Notamacropus eugenii: one gene and its partner. Each later gene encodes a partner of the first gene's protein in a complex. Links are inferred from orthologs where the notes say so. Each region holds a gene or a part of one and is shown in the gene's direction. Other genes may lie near its edges.

What was found. Proteins that work in one complex are often made in the same cells at the same time.
Region 2: ACAD9 (region 1) and TMEM126B share a complex: the UniProt entries of both Homo sapiens proteins name them as parts of the mitochondrial complex. The link is inferred for Notamacropus eugenii from reciprocal best matches to the Homo sapiens genes ACAD9 and TMEM126B.

The regions. Positions count from the first base shown.
Region 1 is NC_092874.1:425,042,182-425,049,557, forward strand, and holds the start of ACAD9 (complex I assembly factor ACAD9, mitochondrial), read left to right. Parts: upstream 1-4,176; 5' UTR 4,177-4,339; coding exon 4,340-4,510; intron 4,511-7,376. UniProt on the Homo sapiens protein: As part of the MCIA complex, primarily participates in the assembly of the mitochondrial complex I and therefore plays a role in oxidative phosphorylation.
Region 2 is NC_092876.1:115,835,773-115,842,998, reverse strand, and holds the start of TMEM126B (complex I assembly factor TMEM126B, mitochondrial), read left to right. Parts: upstream 1-4,202; 5' UTR 4,203-4,462; intron 4,463-7,226. UniProt on the Homo sapiens protein: As part of the MCIA complex, involved in the assembly of the mitochondrial complex I. Participates in constructing the membrane arm of complex I.

The DNA.
Region 1 (7,376 bases):
GCATTAATGTCCCATGTTCCCACTTACCCTCCAACATTTGTCATTTACCTTTTCTGTACCATTAGTCAATCTAATAGGTGTGAGTACCTCAGAACTGTTTTTATTTGAATTTCCCATTAATAGTGAGTTAGAGTATTTTTTCATATGCTTATAAATAACTTTGATTACTTCATCTGGAAACTGATCATATCTTTTGATCACTTATTATTTGGGGAATGGCTCTTATTTTTATAAATTTGACTCAGTTCTTTGTTTGTTTGAGAAATCAGACCTTTATCAGTGAAACTTGCTTCAGTTAGTTACTATTGCTAACTGTATTTCCCTCCATCCTATTCCATCACCCCTTCCCCCCTCATTTATTCTATTTTCCAGTGCTGATTCAATCACTCCCAAGGCCTGCTCCTGGTTTGCTGAGGTTGGGGCTGGACTCTGTTTCACTCTCATCCAAGTGGAACAGAACTTTCCTGCTGACCTTCTAAGTTGTCTTTGGCATCTATGGGCTGAGAGGTCTGGAATCTACCTCTGCTGCCAGTGATTCGTAACCAAGACCTGCTCCAGATTTGCTGGAGCTCAGACTGTGCTTCTCTCTCACCCTGGTGCAACAGACCTTTCCTGCTGACCTCCCAAGTTGTCTGGGGCTAGAAATTTGTTTCACTTTATCATTTTGTGGGTTCTGTTGTTCTAGAATTTGTTTAATTTTTAAAGGTATTTGGAGGAGTTTAGGGAGAGCTCAAACAAGTCCCTGCCTTCACTCCACCATCTTTGTTCTGCCCCCTGAAATCTCTTTTGAAAAATACTTCATGCTGGGATCAAAAACTATTCACCATTTTTTCAATAAAGAAAATTTTTATGCTGTTTTTCAGTATTGTTCAGTCTTCTGCACCAATGAAAGGACTAACACTAATTAATAAGGATAATGGAAAAGTACAGAAGATCCATTTAGATAATCTACCTAATCAGGCAGCCTCTACCTAGCAATATGAGATGGCAGCCATCTGGTTTATGCTATTCTGCAGCATATAGATTTTTTTTAAACCACTGCTGAAGAAGTATCTCTCACAGCCTACTTTACGTACTCAGAATTTTCTTGACTTGCCAATTCACACATGGTCAGGACTAGTCATTAATGCTTTCTGGCATTATAATTATTAGCTGTACCACTCTGATCCTTGGTCATACCCTTCACTTTCCATGTACTAGTGTGCTAGAGTATACTTGGAAGACATTAGATTCTGTTCTTTGGCTAAAATTTTCCAAAATAAGAAATTTTCAGCGAGGCTGTGTCAGAGATTCACTAGCCTTCAGGATTTTCCATCACAAACTATTTCTGGGGTATGAAGCTAGGCTGTGGTAGATAAAAGTTCAGCACAGTTCTTGTAAATGCCTACCTGAATTTGATGAATTAATGAATAGATGAAGTGGAATTCTATCTCTCTCTTTTCAGAAGAGATTGAAACTCTTCAGCTACAGATATAGACAACGCAGATTTATAGAGCACTGTGACATTTTCAAAGTGTTTTCCCTACAACAATCCTGAGGAATAAGTAGTGTGGGTACATCACAATTTACCAATGAGAAACTGAATCCTAGTGGCTTGCTGAGGATCACAAGATTATTATTTGAGGCAGGATTCAAGTCTAGGTCTTCCGACACCACATTCAACATTTTATCCTATGCTGCCGCTCAGAAAATTAGGCATCTGAAGTGCTAAATAACCTATCCCCACTTCCTTTGTTCCTCATTCTAGACACTAGTTATTACTTGGTGAATGTACCTGCCACAGACTCATGGAGCCAAGTTGACTCAGTTATGGAAATCAGGGACTCTATGCCTGGGGTCAGGGTTAGAAATCATCTCCAAAGTGGGGGCTGGTGCCTCTGAGAAGTCATGGCCCAACCCTAAGGGGTGTGTGATCAGTCATTTGGTGGGTACCAAGATGAATCAGATCCTATCCTTCCTGTGTGATGATTTTTTAAATTAAATTATTTTATTTGTTTTCAGTGTTCTATGTCTTAGATTTTTTCCCTCCCTCCCCCTCCTTCTCCCCTCCCTCCCCACTTCATCCCTGAAATGGCATACAATTTTATACAGGTTCTATACATACATTTCTATTAAATACATTTTCACCTTAGTCATGTTGAATAGAAGAATTAAAATGAATGGAAGAAATCATAAAACAAAACAAAACATAATACAAAAGAAAATGGTCTGTTTCATTCTGTGATCAAATTCCACGGTTCTTTCTCTGGAGGTGGAAGGCATTTCACCTCGAGTCCATTGGGAATTTTTAAAATCCTTATATTGCAATGAAGTACTAAGTCTACCAGAAAAATGCCTCATACACTGTGGTTGTTGCTGTATAAAAAGTTCTTCTGGTTCTGCTCCTTTCACTCAGCATCAGTTCATATAAGTCCTTCCAGTCCTCTCTGAAGTCTTCCTGTTCATCATTTCTTATAGTACAATAGTATTCCATTACATTCACATACCACAATTTGTTCAGCCATTCCCCAATTGATGGGCATCCCCTTGATTTCCAGTTTTTGGCCACCACAAAGAGAGCTGCTATAAATATTTTTCTACACGTGGGACCCTTTCCCATTTTTACGATCTCTTTGGGATACAGTCCTAGAAGCAGTATTGCTCAATCGATGGGTATGCAAATTTTTTATAGTCCTTTGGGCATACTTCCAAAGTGGATCAGCTCACAGCTCCACCAACAATGAATTAGTGTTCCAATTCTCCCACATTTATCATCCTCCTGTTTTGTCATGTTAGCCAATCTGATAGGTGTGATGTGATACCTCAGAGCTGTTTTGATTTGCATCTCTCTAATCAATAGCAATTTAGAGCATTTCTTCATGTGGCTATAGATAGCTTTAATTTCTTCCTCTGAAAACTACCTCTGTGTGATGATTTAAAAGGTTCAAGAGACATAGTTTCTGGGTAATTTAATCACTTTATTAATAAGACTAGTGCATTATTAATATAAGGATGGTCATTTGGCCCTCTTTTAGAACAGAGACAGTCATGGCAGCAGGCCCAGGGTTATAAATAATCATCTCTCTCTCCTGCAGTAGTAGTTTGTCTCTAACACAACTATTCTAGCTTCATGTCTCCCCTTCAACTGTTCTGGCTTCTGATCTCCCCTCTTCTGACCCTGGGGTCAAACTCAAAGAAGGTGGCCACTAAATCACATAAGGATTCCAGCTGACCTGTGTTAACTTAGAAAAATAATATATTATGGTTGTTCTACTGTATTTTTATCATGTTAAATACTTCCTGGTTACATTGTAATCTGGTTGTGGCCTCACTTGGAAACATTGTAGCACCTTTGCTCCAAAGAATCTCACTCACTTTCCAGGGGTGATGGGGAAGTCTTCAGCAGAGCAGTCCTTTATATTCAGGCTTTCCAGCTCCTAGTTCAGTGTTCTTTATAAAATTATTAATTGGCAGAGAAACAAACGCATGCTAAAGCAGTTAAGGAATAGTTTGCTTTGAGTTTTAACATTAAATTGCTTGTTGAGGCAACATGGTGTGGTGACTATGGAGCCTAACTCAAAGCCAGAAAGAGCATGACACTTCGTGGTTGGGAGACTAGCATATCACTTCACTTCTCCAGGCTCTAGGCTAAGAGTAAGAGTTCCCAAAAAAGTGTTGACCTGCATTGGTAGAGTGACCACCCCTGCCAGTCGGGAGCTCACGATTTAACGAGGGAACCACTCACAAAAACCCACCCATCTAGGGAGATACAGACAGGATAAACTGGAGATAATCAATAGAGATCCACAATTCTCCATCTCCCGACCTGGTGTCTTTGCATTGGCTGTGCCCCCCGTCTGGAATGCTCTCCCTCCAGACTCGGCTCGAGTGGCCCCAGCTGCGAGTGCCTTCCCCGCTCAGCTTGCCCTGCTTTTATACCATAGGCGCCTCATAAGGACGCAGTCACTGACACGCACCCTAAGGTGGGAACTCCTGGACTGCCAGGACCGTGTGGATGCGGCCCAACACAAAGAAGGCGCTTAATTGACGCTGGAGCAGCGCCTCCAGCTCCGTCACATGCGACCCGGTGGTCCGAATCATCCAGCTTTAGTAGGGAATAAATAGGGAGAAGGAGTGGGGAGGAGGAGCCTTCGCTCCACGTGCCGCACTTCAGGCTGCGCAGCCGCAATCCGGACCACAGAAGGGAGGCTGGAGGGGAGGGACCGGGGCTGCCGGGAGCCCGTAGCCGCTCGTGACGCCATCTGGAGGCGTCCGCTTGTGACGCAATCGGGAGGCGCCCGTGCCTTTCCCGGCGCCTGGGGCTCCTCTGTGGCAGCTTGGCACCGGCACGCGGAGCATCATGAGCTGCGGCGGCTTCCTCCTCCTGCGGGCGGCCGGGGTGGGCTCCGGCCGGGTCCTGGGCACCCTCCTCCAGCGGCCGCGGACGGCGGGCAGCCTGCGGCGGCACCTGCGCACCGGTCCGCGGTGCCAGTCCTACGCCAAGGATCTGTTCCTGGGGAAGATCCAGAAGGTAACGGCCGGCCGGCCCCGGCCGGTGGGGAGGGGGCCTGGACCTCCCGGGCCCTCCTGTCTAGCCCCGCTGTTGGCCAGCTGTGGGAGCCCGAGCCAGTCCCTTTGCCTCTGCGAGCCTCGCTTCCCTCATCTGTAAAATGGGCAGGAGGCAGGCAGCAGTCCGGGCTTGAACCCGCGCTTCGGGGACGGGCGTGGTGCCACGGCTGGACCGCTCCCTCCCCTCTCCGGCAGTCCCGGGGGCCCCCGTAGTCCGAGCGATCCCCAAGGTGGATGTCACGTCCAAAGCCTCTGCACCTGCCCTTGCCCGTCCCCCAGCACGGACCGCTCTTCTGAGACCTTTTAGAGACCTTGGACCAGAAACAAACACACACGCACCTTTATCGTCGCTATCCTCTAGCTGAAAGGTAGCATTTTCTTATAAGGTCTGAAAATATTCGGAGAAGGGGCCCATAGGCTTCACCAGACTGCCAGCAAAGACGAAAAAACCCTCATCTCCTTTTAAAAGTCAGGAACCAGGCTGAGGAGAGGGGAAGGGATTTGCCCACCTTCACGTGGTAAATTAGTGGCGGGACTGCGGGACGAACACAGACCTGACTTTCAGTCCGATAATCTTTAAAACAAAAAATTTTTTCCCTAATGTTTTTTTCTTACCCCACTTCTCTCCCCTGACAGCCACCCACAGCAGCAAACTGAATTCAAGGCTGTCACTGTTGGAGAAGTCTCTACCCCCTACTTCTTCATCCATCCCGAGGATGCTGCCAGATAAAAGTTCACTAAGTACAGCTTTAAGCTGTATGTACTTTTTCTTAATCCATTCTAAGTATAGTGCTTGATAAATCTTAAGTACGACTTTAAATTCATCCTTGCCTTACTGACAACACCTTTAGTGGTTCTCTACAGCCAATTGATTATATAGTTCCTGCTTAGATGAGACTATAAATGTATGTGAATATTACCTCCTTCCAGTCAGGGTGTAATCTGTCCACTCCCATGAATCTTGTCTATGTCTTACCAGGATTTTTAACATATAGGTGCCCATTGCAAGCAGCTTAGGCTGTCCTTGACTCTTACTGTGTAAAATCGCAGAGCTAGACTTAGAAGAAATCTTAGAGGTCATCTAGGTCAACCTCCTCCTTTTAAAGATGGGGAAACTGGGGCCCAGGAATGTTAGTCATCATCTGAGGTGAATTTGAGCCCAGGTCTAGAGTCACTGCTAACATAGGATTAAGGCAATTTGATATGAAACTTAACTAAATTGATATCAGCTCATTAAGGACTACTCTCTGGTTCTAGTCATTAAACTGGTTCTGAATCTGAATAAATCACCTAAAATGTTTAGTCTGATCCAGAGGTGTCTAACTCAATTTGAATGCTGCAAACCACATTAAATGTAATTGAAAATGTTAAAATAAATAAAAATAAAATATAGATACTACAATTTGTGATTTTCCAATTCAGTATGTGGCTATAGGGTTCCATTTCTGTTTGAGTTTGACACCACTGATGCAGCCTGTACCACTCCATCTTGTCCACAAGGGGCCTTGTCCGTAAGAGGCTTTTGTTAACATGCTTTAAAGTCTGAGTTTACTGTGCCAGCTAGGTGATGAACTAGATAGAAAACTCAGTCTGGAGTCAGGAAGAACTGAGTTCAAATTTGACCTCAGATACTTACTCGCTGTGTGACCCTGGGTAAGTCACTTCCCTGTTTGCATCAGTTTCCTCTTTTGTAAAATGAGCTGGCAAACCACTCTAGGATCTTTGCCAAGAAAATCCCAAATGGGGTCACAGAGAGTCGGACGTGACTGAAATGCCTCGGCAGCAGCAGCAAACACTACGTTCATGGCATTCCTTTGGTTTATCATTTCAGCTGCCTTGTCAGAAACAGGACAAGATGAGTCTGGCACCATCTGTTCTTGATGAAGCCTAGCTAACTGCATCTTCCCTAAATGCTCACAGAGCAGCACTTGTAATGGCATTATAGGATTCTTCAATAATCAAAGTCAAGCTCCCTCATGTATAATTGACAGATCTCTCTCTTTTCCCTGCCTTTCTCTCCCTCCCTTGCTCCCTCTTTTCCTCTCTCCCCCCTCTTCCTTCCTTCTCTCCTCTTTCTTCCCCTTCTTCCTCTCCCTACTTCTCTTTCATCTCTCCTCTCTCCCCTCTCCCTCTCTCTCCTTTCTCTCACTCTCCTCTCTTCTCTCTCATTCAGCATTTTCCCTTCTCCAGTTTTATTCCACCTGTACTTCTTTGATCAACCATTATATCTCCCCATTATTCCATTACCTGGACTGAACCTGGTGACTTGAACTTTCTAAGAACACGTAGAAGCTGTCTGGCTGTATCTTCATTTATCTTGCATTTCTGTTCTCTGGTAATTATTTTTGTGGTCTCATCTTTATTCAGCAACATATTATACCTTAATGATATGTAAGGGTCATCTTGGACAAAAAAGGCATGTAACTTTATAGAACATAGATTGTAATCTTATATGTGGGCTCATCTAATGTCCTACGATTCTAAGAAAAGCAGCAAAAGTCATCGAACTTAAGTGGGGCAACCTCAAACAAGACAGGACAGGTCACATTGACATACAGCTTGGACCCATTTGGCAGAGTATTATTAACAATAATAGCTGCTGGGAGAAAGGTATTCACAAGTGGCCTGATAACTCGGCTCTCAGAGGGAGAACAGCAGTTGGTCCAGGGCTGCTGGCCCTCAATCAGACTGTGGCCTTAGAATGCCAGCTTTGAGGATATCACCCAGTTTATTCTATGTTATCTTGCTCCCAAGTTTGCCGTAGCTTTCTCTTTTAGCAACCAGTACCTCCTTTTTGGTGAGCCAGGCAAAGAATAGTCAAGCCCCTT
Region 2 (7,226 bases), on another chromosome or scaffold:
AATATAGTTCACTATGTGAAGTCATTTAACACAATTTTTTTAAAAATCACATACACATGCACAATGAACCAAGGATGGGGTATGCTTCATCTGAAACAGAAGATTTAAGGGAGCAATGATGAGTCTTCAGGTATTTGAAGACGCTATCATATATGAGAGAGATTCTATATAGTATATGTAACTCCAGAAGGCTAAACTGGAATCACTGGGTGGAAGTTACAGGGAAGGAGATTTAGGTTCAATAACAAGGAAGAACTATATAACAATTAGATTTTTCCAAGAAGGAATATAGGTTGGCAGTGTTTAAACACAAACTACAGGAATACATTTCCAGGATACTGTAAAGAAAGTTCTAGCCTGAGTGTGAGATTAGCTTAGATGACCTCTAAGATCCCTTTGGAATACAAGATCCAATGATTCAATGATGCAATGAAGTGTTTGGATAGTAGTCTTTAATGTTGAAAAGTATGTCAATATCATGAACACTTAAAAACACATGAACATAATAAATGTCTCCAAATAAGCCATTTCAGAATGTGAATTACATGGTCCATCATGCCTTAAGCAATAATCAAATACATATTTGATGCAATATGTTAATACAAACTTTGATTCCCTAAAAAACATTGATGCATTTTAGAATCAACCATTTGTTTCAAGAAAAATAAAAACTAAAACATTCAACTTTCTTAGGATGTATGAACAACTTTCATATATGTTTATTAGCTATCTATAAACCTGTTCTTAAGAAGAAAATAACTTTACACAAACTCAAAACCTGAGTAATTTTTAAACATTAAACTCATTTTTTTTTTAGCTAACCTGTTTTTCCTAGACCATTGTACCTACTTCAACTTGCCACTCTTCTCTTCTTGGCTCCTCATTAACATGCAAGTAATATCTATTATTCTTTGTACAGTCGCTAACTTTTTAAGAACAGGGAAATAAGGACACAAATATAATAGATGGGGGAAAGACAAAGGAGTAAGAAGAGTAAAATTGAAAGTAGGACTCAAAAATCCAAAAGGATAATTAATTATAATACCAAAGCCTGTCTGGTTTCCAGGCAGATTCGTTCTTTAGGTTAGATTTATGGTGGATATGGTATGAGGTTCCCATGGGTCACCTAAAATCTACTGGTTATCCTAAGAAATCTGAACCACTTTCAGGGCATCTCCCAATCTAAAACCTTGATAAGAAAGGGTCAAATCGGGGGCTCTCTTGGGAGCATACATTGCCTTTCAGGTGACTATTTTTAAAAGGTTCTAGAACTGATCTAGCTCTCCCCTAGTCCTTCGACTTACGCAGAATACAGAGCCAGGTTGAACCTTTGGAGCAATTCTCTTGGACACATAATCAATTTGGGCCCAGAATTAAACCATAATATTACAGGTGTCAAAATACAGCAAGTCAAATGACTTGCCCATATTGTTGTATTTGTATGCATGTTGACCAGCATGAATGATGCTTTTAGCCGTTGGATGTTCATTTATTGTTTGATTCAGAATTTCTGAAAACATACTTATAACAGACCAGATCATAGCAGAGTAATAATAACCAGCATTTACATAACAAAGGACTTTATAAATAGTCTCATTTGATCCTCACAACAACCCTGGGAGGTAGGTGCCATTATTATCCATATTTTACAGATAAGGAAACTGAGACAGACCAGAGGTTAAGTGGCTTTCCCAAGGTCATACAACTAGAAAACGTCTGAGGCTGTATTTGAACTCAGGTCTTCCCAACTCCAGGTTCAGTGCTCTGTCCACTGCATCAACCCCAAATCTCCTCCCAGGCAGTCAGTCAACAAGCATTTACTAGGCGAAGTTTACTGTGTGCCAAGCATTGTGCTCCACAGTGAAGTAGAACACCAAATCTCACCCAATCCAACACGTATTCAGGATCAGACTAGAATTTAGGGGATGAAAGATGAGAAAATTCCTACTTAGGAACTTCCTAACGCATGGAACTGATGAGTCCAACTTAAAACTTCATCACTTGCCAATGATATGCTCAGTCACATTTTCTAATTGAAAATTTATACTGGAGTGAACCCAAATGTAAAAGTTGTCTGTTTTTGCTTAGAAAATAAAAGATATACTGCAAATCTACCATTTTATTCTGTACCAACACAAATATACAACTTTACTGTTGTAGTTTACAAGCTATTTAGTTTAATTATATTACATTCATGAGTAATACCAAAGACATTGCTAGAAAAAGTGAAATTTTAGCATTGAATCTATTTATTACAAATAATGCCTGCAGATTGTCTAAGGGATGAAATCACAACTAACTACTTATTTTAGCACAACTTCATTTTGGTAACAGCATTGTAGAGTGTGACACTAACCATGTGTTACCATAATAAATAGAGAGCTGCCCCAACTGAAGCAAGAGTTTCCTTCTCAAATGCAAAACAATTTAAATGACAAGTACCAGAACCAAACAAAACAGAAGATACAAATATTAGATAGGAAGCTTCATAGCCCACCTTTCTTCTTGACTGGCATTCTTGGATCTCTCTGCAGTCACTGGATTCAAGGACTTGTTTAGGTATCAACTTTATCCAACTGGGCTGAAGCCAAGAGCTAGGTGGCTGTGGCAAAGTACTTCGGCCGCTCAGTCTTGAAATCCAAGCTCAGTCTTCATTTTCACCAAGATATGAAGTAATGTTGAATATTTTTTCCACAATTAAACTTTTAACACCTCCCACAGAATTTAGAAGGGAAAAAAAAAGACTGGAGTTTCACAAAATTGTCTTTCAATTCTTATAAAATATTTCTTAATCTATAAAAAAACTGAGAACATTATTGTTGGTATAGAAAACATTATTAGAATTCCTCTTCAGGCAGCAAATTTGGTGTAAGTTTAATGACTCAAGGCACAACCCAAATTTAAACAACTCTCACTACTCTACAAAACCAACTTCAAAGCCATCCAGATTTAATGATAAAAGATGCCCAGTTCTACGGAGGAGAACTTTTCAGGAAAAAAAAAAGAAAAACTTTTTTTAAAAAGCAAAGTTCTTTGCCTCTGATTTCTGAAAAGGTTGGGTGAGTTTGAGATGTGCCCCCGGGACCGAAAGGCCGATTTCTATTCAGGGAATAAGAAGTTTCCGATCTCGCTCCCTCAGATCAGACAGCATCCAGGTCCAGTCCCTTTCCTTTTTCCCCTTCTCTGCTGCCCGAGCTACCCAGGCTTGTTCTCTAATGAATGCCACTCTGATCCTCCCATGTATTAAGCGAGGGAGCAGGAAAGCGCCGCTCTGGCATGGAGACGTTAAAGTGGCAGCGCTCTCAGTGGGCACTGGGTGCAGTGTGAGTTGGCGGCGCAGCCTTCCTCACCCTGGAGCCATTCACATCATGCCATCTCCTCTCATCCAAGCAGCTGCCTGGGGTGAGGAAAAACACAAGACCCCCTTTCTCCAAAGGAAACACCACCACCACCTCCACCACCCGGACCTTCCCCGGGCTGCCTCGGAGATCTCGGCAGCGCCAGCCCGGCACTCTGCCCGCTCCGTGCCCCCAGCCCTACCCGCACCGTAGCCCCTGGCACAAAGGGGGAGAGACCTTTTGGGGGGCCGTTTGGCCGCCACACACACACACCGTGCCCCAGCCCCGGTGCCCACACCCCTGCCTTGTCTGAGAGGAGCAAGGAGAGGCGGCAGGAGCAGCAGTTATGTAACTCGCGTTAGGGGCTTCTGGAAGATGGAAGGAGGTGCGGGCTCCGCTGGGGCTACGTTGGCTAGGATGCCTGGGGCGGGGGGGTGCACGACTACGCCCCGGGGGTCCCCCACTGGGGCGCGGGGGGATGGGAGAGCCTCCCGGACGGGCTGGGGTCTGTCATCGCCCCCCACCAAGCCACTTCCTTTGTGGGGCAGGGGGGAGCAGGCAGGGGCTCGGCTGACATAGGAGGGCTCGAGATGGGGTTGCATCCGGGTTGGGGAGACGCGAGACCCCGGTCCGCTCGGGTCCACGACAGCCAAAGGGGGGACCCAGGCCTGAAGGCAGGTGGGGGCTGAGGGAGGAGGGGCGGGCTCGTCCTGAAAAAGGGAGGGGGAGAAGAGAGCGGAGTGGTTGCCCGGCCAACGCCAGGTGGGCGGGAGCGACCCGCCCGGCTTCTCCCACAGACCAATGAACGGCCCCGGTTCCGGGGCAGCGGAGACCAATGGGAATCGGAAGAGAGGGCGCGGCATTTGACCGTAGTGGGCGGGCCTCCCTCCCCCTCGTGCTGGGGCTGGGGTAAGAGGCGGGGCCTGGGGCCAGAGCTCGGGAGGGACGGGGGCCACTGTGGGTCATGTGAGCGCGCAAGATGGCGGCGCCCAGGTGTGAGCGGCGGGACTCTCGGTGAGCGGGCTGCGCGTGGAGACGTAGCAGAGGTGTCGGCGTGGGCAAGCCGCCGCAGTCGTGGGGGTCCGACCGTAAGCCTGGCCCAGCCCTCCGAGCTGGTCTGTGGGGTAGGCCGTGCGAACGCGTCCTTATCTCTAGTGGGGGAAGTCGAGGCTCCGAGGGGGCTTGTTTCCTCTCAGGCCACCCCGGGACCGATGCAGGGCACGTGACAGGCCCCTCGGGCTTAGAACCGTGTTTGATAAGCTGCTCTCCTAGAAGGAAAATTCTGCATCCCTCATCAGAGCATCCTAAATGTGGAGTGGAAGGGTCCTAGAGGTCATGGAGCCCACTTTCCTTACTTTACAGATGGGGACACTGAGGCCCAGAGAAATAGTGACGTATCTAGGGGCAAACCTCCCGGAAGTGCCTTTGGGCAGGATTCGAACTTAGCTCCCTGCCTGCAAGCCCCGGGCCCTCCGTCCACATCCACGTAGCAGACAACTGGGTGACCATCTGTCAGGGAAGCGATGGAGGAGACTGTATTTTAGAAAGCAGGAGTCAGCTGCAGACATCTCCTCACTGGGGCTCTGGGCGAGTTATTTAGCCCGTTACCTCAGTTTACTCATCTGTAAAAAAAAAAAAAAAGGGGGGGGGGATAATGGTTGTTATGAGGACCCAGAGTTGTTATGAGGACCAGATGAGATAATAATTGTAAAGTGCTTAGCAGGAGCCGGCACACAGAATGCCTGATATAAATGTTTGTAGTAGTTGTGATAGAAGTTGGGAAAACTAAATTGAATTTTTTTTTACAAAGGCAAATTTGACTAGGTGACTGCAGAAGTTCCCTCTAACGGTGAGACTGTGATTCTCTTGTGTAACTGTTAAATTCGGGCAAGTCTGGTATAATAGAAAGTCTCCTGGTTTTATAGTCAGAAGACCCAGGTTGAAATGCTGATCTTGTATTCAGCTGGCAAGCCCCTTTTCTGAGCTTCAGTTTCATCCACTGTTGCTGCTTGGTTCTGGAAGAGGACCGTGACGTCAAGAGGTGATGCCGTGATATGCAAGTGAATTGGATTTAAGTGAGGGAGAGCTGTGCAAAGTCACCAGCCTCGCTTTCTTCTCTAGAACCATCTCAGTCCAGGAGCCAGATGTAGGTCAGGACAGCTGGAGGTGGCCCTGGATGCAGTGGGGGCCTTTTCCAGCCAAGGTCTTTAACTGGTCTCAGTTTGACTGAGGCAATGTCCATTCAGTGATTAAGGCTTAATAAAAAATTTGGCAAAGAATAACTACTTTAAAAAAAACAGATCTGGGAGGGGAAGACCCTTAGGGTTTCCATCCAAAATAAAAATAATTGCTACTTACATTCATTCTGAGTCAGTCAGGGCTGTGACCAAGTAGGGCTTGGCCTGGGACCTATTGTTGGCCAGTCTATGAGAGCCTAAGTGATTTGGGGTTAAGACTGGTCTTCTAGAAGAAAAAAAAAATTCAGAGATTAAAATTTACATTCCCTTTGGGCAGAGCACCTGCACGTAAGGGTGTGATACTCTGTGTGAACTAGAGAGAGAGAAAAAGAAGGAAGAAAAGATCCTCTGTAAAATGAGGACAATAAATCATCTTATTAAGGCACAAAGCACTTTGAGCTGCATGTTATACATTATAGCCAGTGGTGCCCCTGTGACAGCCAACTCCCCCCACCCCAAAAAAGTAAGTTCCCACACGTTTTTAGTGCTAGTGCCTTCCCTCTGTTTATTATTCCGTTTATCCTGTACAAAGTTGGTACATAGTTGTTGTATCTTCCCATTAGATTGTGAGCTGTCTCTCTATTAGACTGTGAGGTCTTCAAAGGCAGGAACTGTCTGTTGTATTTTTCTGTATCTCTAGTGCTTAGAACGGTGCCTGAAACTTAGTAAATGTTTATTGACTGGCTTTCAGTAATTCCAGGTAGGAAGAGATAAAGGCCTGTACCAGAGGGGTGACTATCAGAGGAGAGAGGTGAGATGTTAAAGGTAGGATCGACAGGACGTGGCAACAAATTAGATGTGGAACGATAATAGAAAGTGTGAAATCAAGGATGACATATAGGTTTAGAGCCTGGATGACTGGGAGCATGGTGGTGCCCTTGACAATAAAAGGAAAGTTCTGAAGAGGGCGGGGCTTGGGGAGTGTTCAGGACACGTTGAGTTTTAGGACTTTAAGATATCCAGAAGATGTGAGACTGAAGGTCAGGAGAAAGTTTAAGACTGGATAAATAGATCTGAAAATCATCTGCATAGAAATGATCATTAAATCCATGGGATTTGATGAGATACCCCAAGCAAAATAGTATAGAGAAAGAAGAGAAAAGGGCCCAAGATAGAGCCTTGAAGTATTCTCATGGTTAGTGGGCATGATCTGAATAAAGATCCAGCAAAGGAGCTGGAGAAGGAGCAGTTGGACAGGTAGGAGGAAAACCAGGAGACAAGTGTCACGAAAACCCAGAAGGAAAAGATTATCATGGAGAAGAAGGTGATGAGAGGCTGCAAAGAGGTTAAGAAAGATGAGGATTAAGAAGAGGTCATTAGGGAGGGAAGGGGAGAAAATTATGATTATTATCGCTTATGGAAGTGATTGTTGAAAATTGAAAACAAATAAATTTGGAGGGAAAAAATTTTTTTAAATAAATAAAAAAACAATGGCATTCAGCACTTGACATGGCAGCCAGGAATGTTGCTTTGATCTTAGGTTAAACTAATAATAATTGTCATCATTTATAGGGTGCTTTAAAGTTTACAAAACATTTTTCAAATATGATCTCATCTGATCCTCACAACCAAAAAAATATAAATAAAAGGCCTTTAGATTGGGTAAGTAAGAGGTTACTAGTAATTTTAAAGCCAGTAATTTCAGTTGAAT